Linked DNA regions of Drosophila melanogaster. The protein of the gene in region 4 interacts with the protein of the main gene of each other region in a pairwise test. Each region holds a gene or a part of one and is shown on either strand. Other genes may lie near its edges.

The links.
Region 1: the proteins of CG14840 (region 4) and CG13678 interact in a two-hybrid assay, tested with the Drosophila melanogaster proteins (one large-scale study listed by BioGRID).
Region 2: the proteins of CG14840 (region 4) and CG8204 interact in a two-hybrid assay, tested with the Drosophila melanogaster proteins (one large-scale study listed by BioGRID).
Region 3: the proteins of CG14840 (region 4) and CG10508 interact in a two-hybrid assay, tested with the Drosophila melanogaster proteins (one large-scale study listed by BioGRID).

Annotation. Positions count from the first base shown.
Region 1 is NT_037436.4:8,220,218-8,223,491, forward strand, and holds CG13678 (uncharacterized protein), read left to right. Parts: upstream 1-1,923; 5' UTR 1,924-1,985; coding exon 1,986-1,997; intron 1,998-2,249; coding exon 2,250-2,624; 3' UTR 2,625-2,736; downstream 2,737-3,274.
Region 2 is NT_033778.4:15,572,623-15,575,808, reverse strand, and holds CG8204 (uncharacterized protein), read left to right. Parts: upstream 1-1,817; 5' UTR 1,818-2,075; coding exon 2,076-2,143; intron 2,144-2,198; coding exon 2,199-2,359; intron 2,360-2,417; coding exon 2,418-2,620; 3' UTR 2,621-2,665; downstream 2,666-3,186. Other genes in the region: CG30466 (uncharacterized protein), read right to left, coding at 2,883-2,996, 3,052-3,186.
Region 3 is NT_037436.4:21,208,562-21,216,242, forward strand, and holds CG10508 (uncharacterized protein), read left to right. Parts: upstream 1-1,653; 5' UTR 1,654-2,169; coding exon 2,170-2,243; intron 2,244-3,488; coding exon 3,489-3,597; intron 3,598-3,665; coding exon 3,666-3,827; intron 3,828-4,220; coding exon 4,221-4,396; intron 4,397-4,567; coding exon 4,568-4,930; intron 4,931-5,200; exon of another isoform or gene 5,201-5,282; coding exon 5,283-5,536; intron 5,537-5,589; coding exon 5,590-5,815; intron 5,816-6,050; coding exon 6,051-6,551; coding exon of another isoform or gene 6,552-6,564; exon of another isoform or gene 6,565-6,753; intron 6,754-6,811; coding exon 6,812-6,940; intron 6,941-7,014; coding exon 7,015-7,222; 3' UTR 7,223-7,490; downstream 7,491-7,681. Other genes in the region: CG10510 (uncharacterized protein), read right to left, coding at 1-181, 237-1,112, 1,263-1,433; Trmt112 (tRNA methyltransferase subunit 11-2), read right to left, coding at 7,568-7,681.
Region 4 is NT_033777.3:14,259,708-14,263,007, forward strand, and holds CG14840 (uncharacterized protein), read right to left. Parts: upstream 1,507-3,300; 5' UTR 1,477-1,506; coding exon 574-1,476; 3' UTR 501-573; downstream 1-500. Other genes in the region: MetRS-m (Methionyl-tRNA synthetase, mitochondrial), read right to left, coding at 1-40, 107-200; CG14841 (uncharacterized protein), read right to left, coding at 1,813-2,520, 2,593-2,709; CG14839 (uncharacterized protein), read left to right, coding at 2,754-3,300.

The DNA.
Region 1 (3,274 bases), on a different chromosome or scaffold from region 4:
AATTTATAATAATTCTGAGTAATTATAAAAAATTTTTTAACAGCCTATTAGAGTTGGTATAGCTGAGTAATGTTTTAATTTTAAACTTTTTACTTATTTTGGTTGAACGTTTTAGTTTAGTATAGACATAAAATTTTAGTAGTAACTTTTAATTAAAAAATACATATATGTTTAGTTAATTTAGTTCATAAGTTATGGATATCCTTGAAGTCGAGCTTGATGCGTTGCTCACTTCTTTTGGTTCCAAAGTCCTCGTCCCAAGCTTTGTCCATGTCAAACGGAGCGATTTTTGTGCGCGACTTTTTGTGGAAATTTCTTGCTTTTTAATTACTTGCCGGCACTCGTGGATACATATACATTATCCCCAGCTCCGACTCCGGGTGCTCTTGCCTTCTCCCAGGGGACTGCTCTTTGATATGCTCCCCGTTCGGGCCACTCGAAAGTTGTGGGCACTCGAGATGGCTGCCATTTGGGGGGCGGATGTGCCATCAAAGCTTTTAGGCGGATTAACCAATATAATAATTTCAGTAGCAAGTCCTCGCCGCAAACTTGACAATGAAAGCAGCCTGGTGGCCAGGAGGGAAGTCAAGTGTCAAAACAAATATGTTTGCCGCCTGCGGTTGCCGTTTGCTGTTCTCAATACATGCCCCGCTGCCAGCTGCATGATTGTGCATTTAGTAGACACCACATCCACATCCCCTTACTCCTCCACATCCACGAGGGAGCACATCCACGGATGGCAATAGGCTGGCTCGTATGCACAGGCACATGGCAAACACTTGAGCTGCACAAAAGGAGGCAAGGAAGTGGCAGGATGCGCGCCAAATCCTTCGCCTGCAACATCATCATCGAAAGCGGCTGAAAAGCAAACCCGAAGGAGAACGGCAACAATTTGCTGTAGTCGTCGAAAAGACCAACCAACTCTTGCAGCAAAATATATTTATATATACAACAAATCAAATATTGTTTATTTAACAAAATTTTTAGGAAAGTGGCCTCAAATAATATAATAGTAATATAGTTTTTATATATTAGAATAATATACATATGTAATTGCACATCATTTTTTCTGTGTGTATGTTGCCACACCCCCTGAAATTCACCGCCCATTTTGAGCGGTGCTTTATAGCCACCATCCACCAATCCATTGCGCTGCTGAAATCGCGTAATTGGCATTTTTAAGCAAAATTCACGCTTCAACACTTTTTCAAGTGTGAGCCTGGCGCAGCAGGAGCATCAGGATATGTGTTCCCGAACAGCCTGCAAGAAGTGGGTGAAGTTGGGTGGAGTTGGGTGGAGTGGCCTTTGTGGTGGTGCATCCTTGTGACGTACGCTTTACCACACACGGCGGCGGCCTGCACTCGATATTTCTAATTAGTGAGTTCTAAGCTCTTTGCCCGCAATTTGTGACATTTATTAATTAATTTCGGTTCTTCCAGCGGTGAGAGCGGATAATTAGACAGTGATTAGCCGGATTTATTGTGGTCTATTAAAATAGGCAAACAGGCGAATGGTAATGGAGCGGAATGACTTGATAATTTCCTGATATCGGCCCGGCATAACACTCATAAATCACTCGAACTTCAGCTACCTTTTCGTTGGCGGTTAAACCCGTAAGACCCATTAAATTGTAAGCCCATTGCAGTCGTCAAGGTCAGGGACAAATCGCCGAGTAACGGACGTTCAGGCACGCACCAAAAATAAGACATGGTCAGGTCTAGACCACGAAAACTAAAACGAAAAAATTGAAAGAAAAAAAAAAAACAAATTCAAAAACAGTAGCCAAGAATTGCGCATGCGCAACGTCAATCGAAAGTCGTTGACTTGGCAACCATCGATGGCTGATCTAAAAGCGTGATCTGCATTGGTAAATAGCTCGAAAAGTGTAAGTGGCTATAAAAGAGTCGTGCAGCTGGCTGTTGGACATCACAAACCAATTGGCCATCTACCAAGTGACAATCCAAAAAGAAAACCAATACATCAACATGTTCAAATTCGTAAGTACAGGAAAACTATTTAGAACGAAGTTTTGAAGGAGAAGGAAGCCTTTATAAACTAATATAAAAAGTATAACTGATATTTAAACAAAATATTGCAAAAGATAGTAGATATCTGAGAAAACCATTTTAAGTAACCTTATAAGAATGAGTTCCATTTGCAGAACTTAAATCATTTTAAATATTAATTTTTGTAGTAATTCTTTTAATATTACTTCACTTAACACTTACATTGAAACTTCCACCATTTAGGCTGCTATCTTCTTCGCTGTTGTGGCTGTGGCTGCTGCCAAGCCTGGAATTTTGGCTCCTCTGGCCGCCGCTCCTCTGGCCTACACCGCTCCGGCTGTGGTGGGCAGTGCCGCCTACGTGGCTCCCTACGCCTCCAGCTACACCGCCCACTCGGTGGCCCACAGCGCCGCCTTCCCAGCTTCCTATGCCGCTCCAGTTGCCGCCGCCTATACCGCTCCCATTGCTGCTCCTCTGGCTGCCGCCTACACCGCTCCCTACACCCGATTTGCCACGCCCTACGCCGCCGCCTACACCTCGCCCCTGGCCTACAGCTCGCCCTATGTGGCTCGTCCCTATGTCGCCGCTGCTGCCGCTCCTCTGCTGCTGAAGAAGTAAATCCATGGATTGTAAACCCTGCGGAAGATATTGCCCCATGAGCTTGGCTCATGGACTGGCATTTATTTTCCATGCAACCCCTACTTGTGATGCATTAAACCGTTTAGAATCTACATGTTATAATTGTTTTTCATTTATGGGTTTATAGCTTTCAAAAGTAATTAACTTTAGCAATCTTAAGGGTATCTCATTTATCAATCCATTATGAGTTCTAGTTACTACTTGCAAAGTACATATTTTAGCTGACTTCAAAACTATTCATATAACATGTGAGATTACAGTTTTATGGATTAGCATGCCAAGCACTGGCATTCGCATATTTAAATGCTCCATTAGCGAGCGGTTTTTTGCGGCCATTCAAGCTAAGCGTTCAATTATTGCTATATGTCGAGGCTGCGGATTGGGCCTGCATATAAATGAGCATGGAAGCCTCTTTCATCTGCGATGAAATTGTCGGGCTCCAGCCGCAGGCTTCAATGAGTTTGGATATGTACTCGTACGTAGTACGTACATCCTGAAGCCTGCGAAAACCGAAATTGCCGCAGCAACCGCAAGCCACCAAAATATGGGTTAGCATCCTTCATTCTCCGTTCTCCGTCCTCCATCCCCAATTCTCGAATTCCTCCGGCTCAAAGCCGAAAACACCCTCA
Region 2 (3,186 bases), on a different chromosome or scaffold from region 4:
GCTTTTTCGCTGGCGGCTAGCTGGTAACTGGTAGTTGGTAGTTGGTAGTTGGTATTTGGTAACTGGGAAAAGCTGGGAATGAAAAACGCTGAAAACTCCTAACGAACGACACCTGCCCTCGGAAAATGCCACTACTGCACCCCGCGAGAAACTTTCGCCCCATTTGGTGGCGTGTGTCTCGCTTTTCTTCTTGCTGTTTGCATTGGTCGCCCCTTTTCCTTTTGGCGATACACTGCTGCTGATGTTGCACGAATGTTGTAAATCAAAAGTAGGCGAGTCACACGAAGGGTCTTCCTGCCCCCCCGAAATCCCTGCCACCGCCGATAGCCGCTGCTTGCCAGCGCCTCTGCTGCTGCGCCTATTTGACTGGCAGGCCGAGCGGATAACGCTGGCAATTATCGCGCTTGTGCCTCACGAACAGCGGAAGCGGCAGAGGCGCCACATCATGTTACCCGGCCCGATTCCCCAGACCTTCCACATCCCCAAACTCTTTGTTAGCCTGCATCCTTTGCTTTCTTTTGTACCACTCGTTTTTCTTTGTGCAATCCAATTGGTAGCGCTCAGAAAACAAAGCAAAAACGATTGAAAATAACAACAACCAGTCCCGGCTACAAGTCCCCCAAAATATGGCAACAGAAACAAGAAGAAAAAAAACGATTCATATACGAGTATAGCCATGCACCTAGACCACCCCATCCGGTCAGTCAGTCAGTCATTGAAGTCATTTATTGCCACCAAAAGTTTTTCGCTGTTTGCCATACCCTCGCAGAGGTTATTACGGCTCAGACTAGGAGCAGGACACGAAGGATCTCAATGGGTGTAGTTATCGTATACAGGACTGTAAGAAGTTATAACCCAATGACATTACCTATAGGACTATCATTATTATCAAATCTTAATGACACACATCTATATGTGTATATTTCATAGCTGAATATGGCCATATAAATGAGATGTTTCTCTTGCAACTAAACCTACTTTTTAGGACTATATATTGTGCATACACATAACACGTTTTCATTAGAAAGAAAGCTTAATAACAAAGGGCATTCCATGCTTCGGTTAACCAATCGAGCCTCACTGTTGTACTTATTTTTACTTCTGGTTGTACTGTACTTGTCTTTGGAGCTGGAGCGGATCTGAACGACTCCTTCCCGGGAAGGACCGTTCCGTTTCAGTACGTTCCGTGTGCAGGATATGTTTACAATTTGCGGACACGCCGACCGTCATTTGATTGCTCCCCTCGCGCTTGTCGAATTCTCGGTTAATTCGCCAGGTGGCTTCAGACTGCGCATTGCCATCGGCGGCGGGGGGAAAGGATTGGGAGGCTTTGGGGCGGAAAAATGGGAGGGCAATGATAAGCGTTCCTCGTTTGTTTGCTCGGAAGCCTCACGGAAGATGACGTGCCCGGGATGGCCCATAAATGAGACTGGCCAAAGCAAACAGACCGGATACACAGGATACATTCAATCAAATAAGGCTATTCGTAACCGGAAAAGGGCAGGACGACTCTATGTCTTCCTCAATCTGACCAAACACTCCGCTAATCGTATGGTTAATAACTAAAATACCTGTGGATAATCTTTAAACGTTTTCAATATGTAAGTCAGTGAGATACAGATACAGTAGATTGAAGCTTTCTGACTATATAAAGTATTTACTTATTTATGATGAGCAAAATTGAATGTTGATGATGAACATTTTATTTGTTCCAGCAAATTGTTCAAATTCAAATTAAAAGTAATGGCGCCAAAGATAGAATTCATCTGTTGACGAAGGCTGGCAGCTACAGAACAATCTAACTAAGCTATGGGATTCGTTTCAACACACTCGTCGTAGAACTCCACTAGTTTTGTTTTCTCACTAAATTAACATGCAGCCCCGCGATCTTATGCGCATTTTAATATTATTCTGCTTGCGTTTTGCATTTAACTTTTTGATTGTTTACCTCCAAAAACATAACGCCGTTCCAGTGGAGCAGAAACGGCTTGGAACCCTCGATAGAGGCAAAAGCTGGAGGCTATAAAACTCGCACAGCTGAGTTTTATTTTGCACGCGACATTGAATTTGATGAGATGGAAAAATGCATTATTTGCGTAGATAACTTGAGAAAATACAAGTGCAGCAAATGCTCGGCACCCTAGTAAGTAGCTATTCGAACAGTTCACTACGGAGATAATAAATGTCGCAAAATGTAGCTGCTCTGTGGCTTGTTATAAGACACACAGGGATTCGCCCCAATGTGCGACAAGGGAGTCCGACTTGAAAAAGACTGAAGTTGGCTACCAGGAGGAACCTACGCTTCATGTGCCCTTCCCCACCGACGACACAGTTGCCGCGGAGAAGCTCCAGCAACTAGGTAGGTGTTTAAATTCGCAATTATACACATTTCTCATAGTATGATGGTTTCCGTACAGAAAACTGCCAGGAACTGCGTAATTTGCTCCACAATCCACACCTGCGTTCGCTGCTCCAGCAGATTGATGTGGCCATCAATGCCCAGTCGGCCATGATGGCCGCCATGCAGGAGCCACTCTTCGTGGAGTTCGCTAATGCCTGCCTTCAAGTCGTCGAACCGATGACGGATGCTGAGCGCACTGAATTTGAGTTGTACTCCTGAATTAAGTTGACACACAGTCTCAATAAAACTAAGCCTTTATTTTGTAACTAATAGTACTGTCAATCCTTGGCAGCTTCTAGAGGAGCTTGCATTGAAGAACTCCTGGAAACTTCTCATTGAAATCCGCCGGTAAGGTTGAATCTTTTCCATAACCAGGGAAAACGTACAACTAATTATTTGGCTCGGCCATTTAAAGTTATCTATCTCAGCTGGCATATCAAACTAGTCATCAGTCTACAGCTTCGTTCCTTGGCAATCAAACTCAATCAAAGTAAATTGAAACTGGATCCGAGTTAAAAGTGATTTTTGGATGCTTCATGTGCAACTTGAAAAGCCTATGTTCCCCTTGCACTTTCCAGGTCATGGGGATGGGATCCTGTAATGAAAAATATTAGAAACGAAAGCTAATATAAGTTGTGAAATACTTAGACCTCATTAGACATGAGATACGTGTTTAGTTCCACATAAATATTAAGTGCTGTGGTACGGTTTTCTCCCAGTTTCTTCGCATCGAATGTGAACTCCTTAAATCCGAAGGTGCAATGGTATATACCCAGGACCTCGTG
Region 3 (7,681 bases), on a different chromosome or scaffold from region 4:
TCATGTCCACGTGATCTTTCAGGTTGAGAGTCTGCAGCTTGAAGTATTCATCGACATCCACCTCGGTTTCGTCGAATACCTCGCCGCCGAGGATTACCTTTTCCGATTCGGTTTGCAGTTTCCTGCAAGTGATCGACAGGGCCAAGAGTAATTCCCCACTTTTCACGTGCTTCTCCATTTGCTGGAATAATATTTCAATTTAGAAATGGGTAATAGGGCTTGGGACAAAGGTTCACCTTGGTCAACTCGTAGCACTCGCCGGTCAGGATGCGCAACTTCTCGTGCGTGATCTCGCGATCCATCTCCTGGTTGAGCTCAATCTTCTTGCGCACGTTGGTGAAGTACTGGAACTCCAGGCGAAGATCGTTGAGCGTGGAGTTGTTCTCCGCATCCATGCGAACCATTTCGCGCTGCAGTTCCGCCTGCATGTTGATGTACTTGGACTCCTCGGCGTTTAGCTTGCGTGACTCCTCCATGAAAGCCGCCTGCCGCTCCGTCAGCCAGTGGATCTTCTCGTACTTGTGGGCATCCAGTTCGGTGCTCCTCAGCGACTCCACGAAGTCGTTCAGTTGCTGCTGCATGTGCGTCATCCGGCGGACAATCTGATCTCGAATCTTAAATCTGTTCTCAATCTCCGTATTCACGCGATCGTCGCGCTGCTCCAGGTAGATAGTGTAATCCTCCTTCAGCTGATCCCGGGTGGTGATGTTGGTGGCATGGATTATGTTCTCGGAGTTCGTTTTCATGGCTTCCACCTCTTCGGTGCGCCGGCGCACCTCTTCATAGTAATCCCTCAGCATCTCGTCAGCCTGCTGGTCATACATGCTCTTCACCCCGCCCAACATCACGTGGAAGCAGTCGCGAATGTGATCAATCAGCTCCACCGTTTTGCTGTAGCAACGCACGTGCTGATCCTGCGTCTGCGCCATGTCGTCCAGAAGCATCTTGATGTGGTCGTTCTTGGCCTGAATGTTACGTTCCGAGCGCTCGCCCCAAGCCCTCATCTCCTCGTTTAGCTCCTTGATCTTGATTTCGCGGCACATCTCGTGCCACTCCTCGTTGCCTTTCTCCTCCATATGCTTGCCCATCTCCAGCTCGCGCATCAGGGCATCCTGAGAGGATCATGGCGCAACATTAGAAATGATGCGTTTACAATTTTAATATAGTCTTAATATATTATTTTTATTATAAAAATTAATAATATTAAGGATTTGCTTAGGTTCATCCTTAATAAAAACTCTGCGAAAGTTAGTTGAACCCACCCGCATGATGAGCCGCTTCTCCTCGATCATAGCCAGTCGCTTGGCCTCTTTCTTGGCGGCCTTCTTCTGAGCCTTGGTTAGTTTGGGCGGTCCTTGTGGCTCCGGCTCCTCCTCCAGTTCTTGGAGGTAGTTTTCCGAAACACGCGTCAAGCGTGCCAAGATTTCGGCCATTTTGCCGATGTGTAGTTGTAGCTGAACTAAATGCGTAAATCAAAGGTGAAATTTTTGGAAAATTGACGGGGGAGCTAAATTCGAATTGTGTGCCTGTTTGAAAGCTGAATCGAAGTTTGGCGCACAGCTTTCGACGGGCAAATTCCAACACTGGATACCAGCTTTTTTAACGACTATTCGCACAGCATCTGAAGCTTTAACGCCCGCCACTGATTTCCTCAGTTGACTCTCAAAGCTTGGCTCGCGAGGTTGTTTATAGCGTCGCGACTCCAGGATTCCCCAAAAACGATTCCTTTCCGGGTAGCTAAAGCCTGGCTGGCTTGCTTACTAACGGCACGCCACATCGAACTGTGTGTGTGTGAGCGTGTGTATCTGTGTGTTGCGGTCCTTTTTCCCGGCAGGCAGTGCCTTGTAAACAAAAATAACTCTGCTGCCGAGGAGAGGTTGCCATCGAGGGTGGTTACAACCCCCAAATCTGAAACATCCGACGACAAAGGCAACTACAAAGCTCCGCGCAGGATAAGTGGCAAGGGCACTCCTGCCTGCCAACTTTTCGGGGTTGCAGACAGTCGGCAAACAAGCTGCGAATGCGACTTTAAACGTCCATAAACATTCAGGCAGAAAACGAAAATAATAAAACGACGGTCGTTCGGTTTAACTGGGCATCGAAGCGCCTCGCATCTGCAAGTGCAATTGTTACTGTATCTGCATCTGTATCTATTCGTGAGCGGTGAAAATGAGCGAATCCGGTGGCTATCAGAAAATGCCGCCCGGCTGGGACTGCAAATACGATCAAGCAACTGGAAATTGGTGAGTTGCATGTGCACAGCCCGACGTCATAAATATTTATGCATCCATTAACCACAATGTCGTGAAATGCGGACTGTACTGGGAGATGTGGTGGCCAGTTGTGGGATATAGGGGTTCCATTTGATAGGTTGCCACGGGGGCAACTGATAAATTTGCGTGCCAACGTCGCTTGGGGTGGCTCTTTCGGTGGGCGAAGGATTATGGTTGGGTGTGTGGTTGTGGGTGTATGTAGGGGGCCTTGGGGGCGTAAGTCGCTTACTTTAAAATGATTGGGTGGTAGGCGTCCGGTTGAGGTGGTGTTTGCCATGTTTGGCCTTATAGTGATAAGGAAATTATTCGTTAGTTCGGTGGCTTGCAGAACTTAGTTTTGAAACACCTTTGGTATTTAAACTCTTAGGACGCAAGCTCGGTACTAATTTAAATTATTCATTTAACACACAATGGAACGAAGTACAAGCTTGGATTGGATATTGGCTAACTTTTCTTCAGCTTATAATCGAAAGAACTTTCTAACATAAAATTTTCAAAATGTTTTATGTTTGAAGAAAATGTTTTAATTTAAATTTAAATTATTATTACTGATACGCAAAACAATTTTACTGAACTCTAAAGACCCAGCGTGTGGGTACCATGTGGTTCCCTATGGGCTACTTAGCTTAGTGCTCCTTAGCCACTCCAATTGGCCTCGTTTCAGCGGCATAAATTGTGTCACTTCCGCGTCGTCGGATGCCAGCGGGGTCTTTAACATCTCCTTAGCCTATCATACATATATACATATAACTTAACCCCTTATGCTTAAAAAGCCATGTGCAATTAAGCAACATACGTTGTCATACGTTAATTCAAGAGGCCACTCAACCGAAGACGAGCTTTCCATCCTCACGACGTCCTCGTCGACATCCACCCTCTCCATTCCGAAAATCAGAGCAGAGATGGCCTGTCAAACGACGATGAAAATGACGACTGTGCGTCCGCCTTTTGGCAGCTACTTGGCACGTGCCTTGGTTTAGGCGGTTCCTTCACCCTTTACCTGTCCGTCCTCCCAAGGGACCATCAACATGTGGGGAGAATCCCAAACCAATCCACTCCAATCCAGTCCACCACCAACCGGCCGGCTTTAGGATGTGCCTCCACCCTTGGCCTGAATCCAAGAGCTTTCGAATGGCCCTGGGTGGGAGGTCATTTGCTGACCTTTGATTTGATAGAAGCTCATCTTCCATTCGGCTGCCCTTCTTCCCGTTCCAGCTATTACATAAACTATCTGACGAAGGCCATGCAGCTGGAGGATCCGCGCGGCCGCAGTTACAGGCAGTTGCAGAACGAACGCTGTTCCACGGAGTCGATAGCCTTGCAGGTAACCTCCGCTTCCTACCCTGCATTTTATTGATTTTTTATTCGAATGGGAACCCTTGTACTTTTCAGCAGTTGGTCAGTCAGCCGCAGACGTCGCACAACAGCTCGCCGTACCACGTCCATCCCAGCAACAACTTGACTGCAATTCGGGCCTTCCAGGAGCGCCAGCAACCCACGCTGCACAACATCTCTACCAGTCCATTGTTGTCGGCCTCCTCCAGGGGACACTTGGTGAGTATGAAATGACCTGAAGATTGATTTTGATAGAGAAACTACAGCCATAGTTGGCAATCAATAGGCAAATCACGTGTGGGTGCGCATCGAAAAATCTGTGAGCATCATCAAAAATGTGCATAAGTAGGTCGTTCTTTCGCACAAAAAATACGCAATTACCTTCTGATATAGTGATTACAACAAGATATCCTGATTGTAGATACTTGTAAGAGGCTAATAATAGATAATTCAAATAGGCTGAGACCTTCAGGAAATAGTTGTATGTTTTTTAAGTTAACAAACATGAAATTCCATGAGTAGTATCCGAAGCCCCTTGCTTACTTTGCGTTTAAGTATCGATAATTGGTTTGAATGAATTTTTTATTAATTAATTTTCCACCTAACCCGCAGGAAATGTCTTCACCTCTGCCCTTTCAACGAGCTCGCGTGGGACCGAATCTCTCGCGGCGCTCCACCATTCAGGAGACCTCGTTCACCACGCAAGCGGAAACGGATGCCGTGGTGACCAAAATCCAGAACATGTTCCCCACCGCTGGCGAGAACCATATACGTCTCCTGCTCAAGCGGTAAGAAATTGGTCCCGACTTCAGCTAAGCGCTCGTGCCAGCTCAGCTGGCGTACTAATCTGCGTACTTACATCTATGTCTTCTCACACGCCGCCTAATTCTGCTGCTTACTGCACCTGTCTAACCCCACGACTAAACGCTAATCCCACGCTTACTAACCCACCACTCCAGCTACTACAATAGCGAGGCGGTTGTCGTCAGTGCGCTGCAGGTGGAGAAGCACCCGGTTACCATGCCCGGACCCTTTGTGACGCCCCCTTCGCAGCGGCACCTCTTCCACAGCGGCTCCGCCTTCTACATGACGCCACCGGCACGTCGGCCGGACACGGTAGCTAGTCGGCGCACGTCGCGCACGGCCAGTCCCCTGCCCGGCGGACGCTTCGGTAGTCTCGTGAGCGTGCAGAGCGGTCCTGGTGGTCCAAGTGGCCATCAGGCTGTTCTGCCTCCCAGCTCGGCTGTTCCGCCGGCTCTGCACGGATCGCCCCTGTGGCGCAGCTCGCCCAGGCCGCACTCGTCGCCCAAGATGAAGCTGAGGTTCGATGGGGTTCAAAATCGAGGGACATTTCAAAGCATTGTTGGATTGCTTTAAAATCTGTGTTAACCAAAAGATCGGATTTAATCTCTTACTTTACAGTTTTTTATTTTTTGCTTGTAACAATCTATTAAGGGTTATTAGGCTTGGGTTACTTATAAAAAGTTCTGTATCTTTTAATATAATTCGTTGGTTTTAAATTGGTGTTTTGTTAATGTTTTGTTGAAACATTTATTTTATATAATCCAAGGTAACATATTAAGTGACAAATTTTTAAATTCTCGATGTTGTAACATAATATTCTTTTAACTTAAATTTTCTTCGATGATAAATAATATCCAAATTCCACCATAGATACATGAAGAATATATTCCCCAAGGCGGACGAAGAGCTGCTTCTGGATATCCTGGCAAATGCGGATAACAACGTGCAGTTCGCATCGGAAAAGTTGATTTCTTTGGGCTACACAAAAAGAGATATGCAACAGCCACACAGACCCAACAATCGCCCGCCGGACCTAAATCAAGATCAGGAGGCTGGAGGGGATCAGAGTGGTGTACATATACCGCTGAGACCCAAGGAATACACAGAGGAAGAGAAGACAAAAAGTAGGTTTTAATTGTACACGTAAAACACTTAAATAAACATCTTTTACTTACAGTGCAAACTTTGCTTAAGGAGAAGTACCCACAGATTGCCGAGCGCATTATCCTAATGGCTTTGGAATCCGTCAACTATGCAGAGGATAGGGCTACGCAAATCCTACAAATAGTCCAGGACGAGGACGAGCAGAGGGAGCAAAAGCAGGCTCCCATGAATCCCAAGCACCTGGATCTTAAGAAAACCACAGGAACCGAGCAGATCGATGGTGCCAACGAAAAAGACAGGTAGCCCTTGACTTTATGTTTTCCCGCTCACGCGAATAAAACCAACCGATCAAGGTCGTTGGCACCCGCTTTTTCCACCCACTCAATCAAGTTACTCTCTTTGGCTCGCTGCTTTATCCGTTTTTTAATCGACTGCCTATTTTCTATGTGAACTTTCTTTGCTGCCTCCGCCTCTGACTAAATCCCCGAACCAAAAAAACACTATCCGCTTGCCTCGCGCCACTTGATCATCCAGCCTGCCCGCCGTGGTGGAGCCCACCACTTCATCCAAGCCGAAGCCGCCGCACAAGCGCCACATTCTTCCATCGATCAATGTCACCACTCCATCAACGTTCACCACCCAGATCATTTTGGCACAGGCTACGCCCACACCAACGCCCACAGCGGAGGAGATGAAGCTGGAGACCCATCTGTCATCCATCTCTAGTGCTTCCTCATCGCATTCATATGCCTCACCCCCACAATCACCCCGCATCTTCCAGCAAAGCTACGAACGCCTGACCACCAAGAGCATTTTGGCCAAGAGCGGCCATAACCATTTTGGCCACCAGAGCGATACCAATAACTACAGCATCGACGGCTACCTGCATGGCTCCTCAAATGCTAGCTCCTACTCCTCCTACTCCGCATCAATGACGTCCTCATCGCTGGTCTCGTCGGCCCAGTCCAACTCCTCATCCATCGCGAGGAGGCCAGCTTTCGAAAGTCGTGCTCGCACCAAAACCGATTCACTGAAGTATGCCCGCTAAAACCAAAAACCGTTCCGATAACCGTTTTTTTACCGTTTCGCTAAGTAAAATCAATCGTTTTGCGCATGAGTTTTTCAAGGAGTTCGCATGGATAGTATCGGGAAATCCGTTTTTGAGATATTATTTTTGAACCTGTTAACTATATTCTTTCGGCATGCCTTAAGCTCAATATAAAATATTAAATCTTTGAAATATTTTAGTTTAATATAAAAAGAACTTTTATACAAATTTAACCAATTCTCAACAGACATCGTCAGCACTCCCTTGGAAATTCGCATAATTCGGAATCAGCTGAATTTCAATCTATTATCGAACGAATGGCCAGTTTGGGACCCAATTCCCAGCTAAGCAAGGGTGCAGATGAAAATCTTTTGCTGTAAGTAGTTCAACTTAATGTCGAAGTAATAAAAACAAAGACTCATCTATGAATATAATTAAAATTATTTTCAGAGCCGATTATGTCACCTGGAATGGACCCAACACGAAGCTTCTTCAAAAGCAGATCACTCAAGGACCTAATGCTAGTCTTCTCACAGATCGCACCTATAAGCCAAGGGGTGGGAAATCGGAACTCTGCAAAGGACCCCAGTCCGGATTGGCGAAGGGCAGCATCTACGCCCAAGGCAGCAACAAGAGCGCCAACATCAAATGCAACTAGGCGGGAGTATCTCATCTGGAACCTCCCCCAGAGTGCCAAAGAAGTGAAGATGAATCTTAGTAGCCAAGCACCACCCTCCACATGTTCAGACTTACGATTTATATATGTCGTAGTGTTTTTTGCTCTTATCCTTAAACACCTACCAAATACCACACGAGTACGTAGACTCAACAAAAAAAAAAAAAAAAAAAAAAAAAAACGAAGTCACATTCCATCCAAGCTCCAATTGTTTTTAGTAACTCGTAAATAAACAAACTTTAAAACTAACAAACTTATTTAATATTAATGCGCGTCTGGAGAAAGGGGATTATGGGGATTATGGTACAAAAAGCACATGGGTGTAATCTAGACCTCGTCCTCGTTAAGGAGCATGTTTGGTATACCATCGCTGATGGGAAACACACGACCTGTCTCCGGGCACTCCAGTTGACCCTCGAGCACGTCGATCTCGAAGAGCAG
Region 4 (3,300 bases):
TCGGCTATGACCGCTGAGTACAGGTGTCCAATGTGAGGAGCTATTTGTTAAAAATTATTTCTTTTTATTATCCGTAATATTGACTGATTTGGTCTAAAATGCTTACCTGCATTTACATAGAAAATTGGAGTTGTCACATAGTGCGAACTGTTGTAGCGAGTTCCCAAATATCTGAGGCACTTAATTCTTCTAATAAGCATCACTTTAAAAGCTATTTTAATATACAAATAAGTAAAAAAAAAAAACGTCTAAACAATTTGCCGGTTGATTTTATAACATTGAACAGCTGTGCCACCAGTGCTGCCCATCACTCGGCTAACAGTGCACGTAACAGTCTCATTTGACATAGATGCACACTTAACAGCGTAGACGCAAAATTTAACGGCTTAAAATTTTAAATTAAATTCAAAAGAATAAATCAAATATTTCCATGCAAATTAAACTTATTTAAATATATTTATTTAATACTAACAAAATTATCGTGAAACATTTTAATTTTTAGTTATAAAACCATTATCTTTTAATAGGAAACTTATTAAACCGAAATCGAAACGTAACAAAATATAGAAAAGATCAGTTGATCCCCGAATTCGGTGCTAGATTTTGGCTGCCTGCGCCGGAAAACTTTCCGGCCATCTTGCGCGGACCCCAGCGCACCTGCTGGCGGTGGGTCATTCGACGAGACCTCTGTGCCTTCTGCTTGGCCTCCACTGCAGCACAGGCCGCTTTGTAGGCCGCCTGCTTGGTCTTCTCGAAGTCCGTCTTGGCCTCGGTCATCTGGCGGGTTAGATTCTCCACCCGGTGCTTGGCAGCCTCCAGGAGCTGCGTCTTCTCGGCCAGCTCCTGCTGCGCTCCACTGGCCACGTTCTCGATATTGGCCAGATTGGACGTGGCGGCTATCACAAGGTTCTTCAGCTGATTGAGTTGCGATTGGGCCTCGTGGGCAGCCGATGCGGCGGCATTGGCATTCGCTTGGGTGTTTTGTAGGGACGAGGTCACCTCAGTGACAACCGCATCCGCCTCGGTCATCTCCTGCTGCAGCTGTTCAACAATCTGCTGCTTTCCGGCCAGTGCCGCCTCCGCCGCACGAGCGGATTGAGCTGCCTTGGCGGCCAGTTCGTTTTTGACCTGGGATGCAGCCGCCTCGGCAGCTGCCATCTGCGAATCGCTGGCTGCCTTGGCCTCCTGGGCGGCTTTTTGGGCAATGTTGGAGGCCTTCTGCTTGGGATCTCCGCGACCAAAGACGCCGGTTCCGCTGCTGCAGCCAACCCCTTTCTTCGAATTAGGTTCCCCACAGCCTTCGGATCCGCCTCCCAAACCGCCCGCCCCACCAGTTCCATCGATGCTGGCATCGCCGTACAATGCGGACAGGCATTGCTTGTCATTCGTTTCGGCGGGTCGGTAGTGGTAGCTCTCCAGTCGAGGGAACGCACGCAGCAGTAGCAGGACGAGGAGCAGCGCTTTCGTGCCAGGCATATTCCGATCAAATATTTGGAAACACTCGACGCTGACTCCATTCGGAAAGCCTGGTTTGACTGAAAAATTACCTTCTCTTAGCAAAAACAATTCGGAAAAACTACCTCGGATATTTGCCTTTCATTAATTTCATTGTTTAGATGGATACAACATATATGTATATCCTACATCCAGCAGCTATGAATAGTATTATGCATCTATTTAATTACATGCTCGCAGTATATTTTTTATTATATTGATATAATATATTATTTTTAAAAAAGTAGCATTATAAACTTTACAAAAATATATATATATGTATAAAATTTAAGTGATAATGGCTAATATTGATCGTTTCTAGCTTGAAGAGGATGCAGAGCTAATCGCCCTTTGCATCCTTTGAGCCTTTTGCTTGGCCTCCACTGCCGCACAAGCCGCCTTATAGGCAGCCTTCTTGGTCTTGTCGTAATCCTGCCTGGCAGCGACCACTTGTCTGGAGATGCTCTCCACTCTCCGATTGGCCGCCTCCAACAGCTGCCCCTTCTCATCCATCTCCAATTGGGCACCATTAGCGAAAGTTTCAATGTTGGTCATTTGAGCGGTGGCCTCAGCCAAAAGGACTTTCAGTTGGTCCAGCTGAATCTTGGCTTCGGAAAACGCTAACATGGCAGATTCTGCGTTCACCTGTGTGCTGTGGAGTGAGTTCTTAACCTCGTCCACAACGGCCACCGCCTCCTTTTCCTCCAGCTCCAGTTGCTCCATGATCTGTTGCTTGCCAGCAAGAGCTGCCTCCGCGGCTCGAGCAGCTTGGACCGCCTTCTCGGCCAGATCCTGTTTCACTTGGAGTGAGGCTGCCTCTCCGGCGGCCATCTGGGCGTCATTGGCCGCCTTGGCGTCCTGGGCGGCCTTAATTGCAATGCTGGAAGCCTTGCTCTTGGCATTCTTTTGGCTAAGGCCACAAGAATTTTGCACAGCAGAACTTGTTTCACACCCTTCCGATGATCCTCCACTTGCAGTCTGCTTCTTTTCGCTTGCTGGCTCATACAATCGAGCCACAACAGGATCCTTGTTCAATGGCGATGAGAAAACAAATTATAGACTAGGACTTTACCCACAGATTCGAGGGTTAGGACTCACCGAGTCGCTTATCATGATTATGTGGCTCCGCGAAACGCAAGCAAGGCTAAGCAGGAATAAGCACATTGCCTGGCAATAGAGCATAATCTCGATTTCCGGATTTGACAGGCATGGCATCTCCATCCGATTGACAGTCGGAAAAATGCTCGAGACAACGGAAAATGCGGATAGACACTCAGATCATGTGGCTAATAATTGTGTTATCCTCGCTCCCGGCATCCGCTACTGGCAATCATTATCGAACCCGCCGAAAGCCAATGCAGACGGAGGACTCAGACCTGATGAGGAGTTTCGCTGGTGGGCTCGGTGGCGGTGGTCCTGGTGATGGAACCGTGTGCGACATGTCAGGGGAGGATAGCAACTCGCCGGCAAAGAAGACGCGAAACCATACTAATGCCAAACAGCGATCCTCCGGAATCGCCGTCCAGGCGGCCAACGAGGCTAAAAAGGCAAACGATGATATGAAAAACGCCGTTAAGGAGGCCGCTGATAAAATCAAAGGTGAATACGCAGACAAGGCAAACGCTGCGGCCAAAGCTGCCGAAGCAGTGCTGTTCGGAAAGAGTCAGGTGCTGGAGCAATTGGAAGCGGAGGTCAGGGAGGCCGAAATGGTGGTGCAGGAGGAAAACCAGGAGCTGATCACCGCCGAGTCGAATGCACAGCTTGCCGCCAAGACGCACCAATTGGTCCAGCAGGAGCTCAAGACAC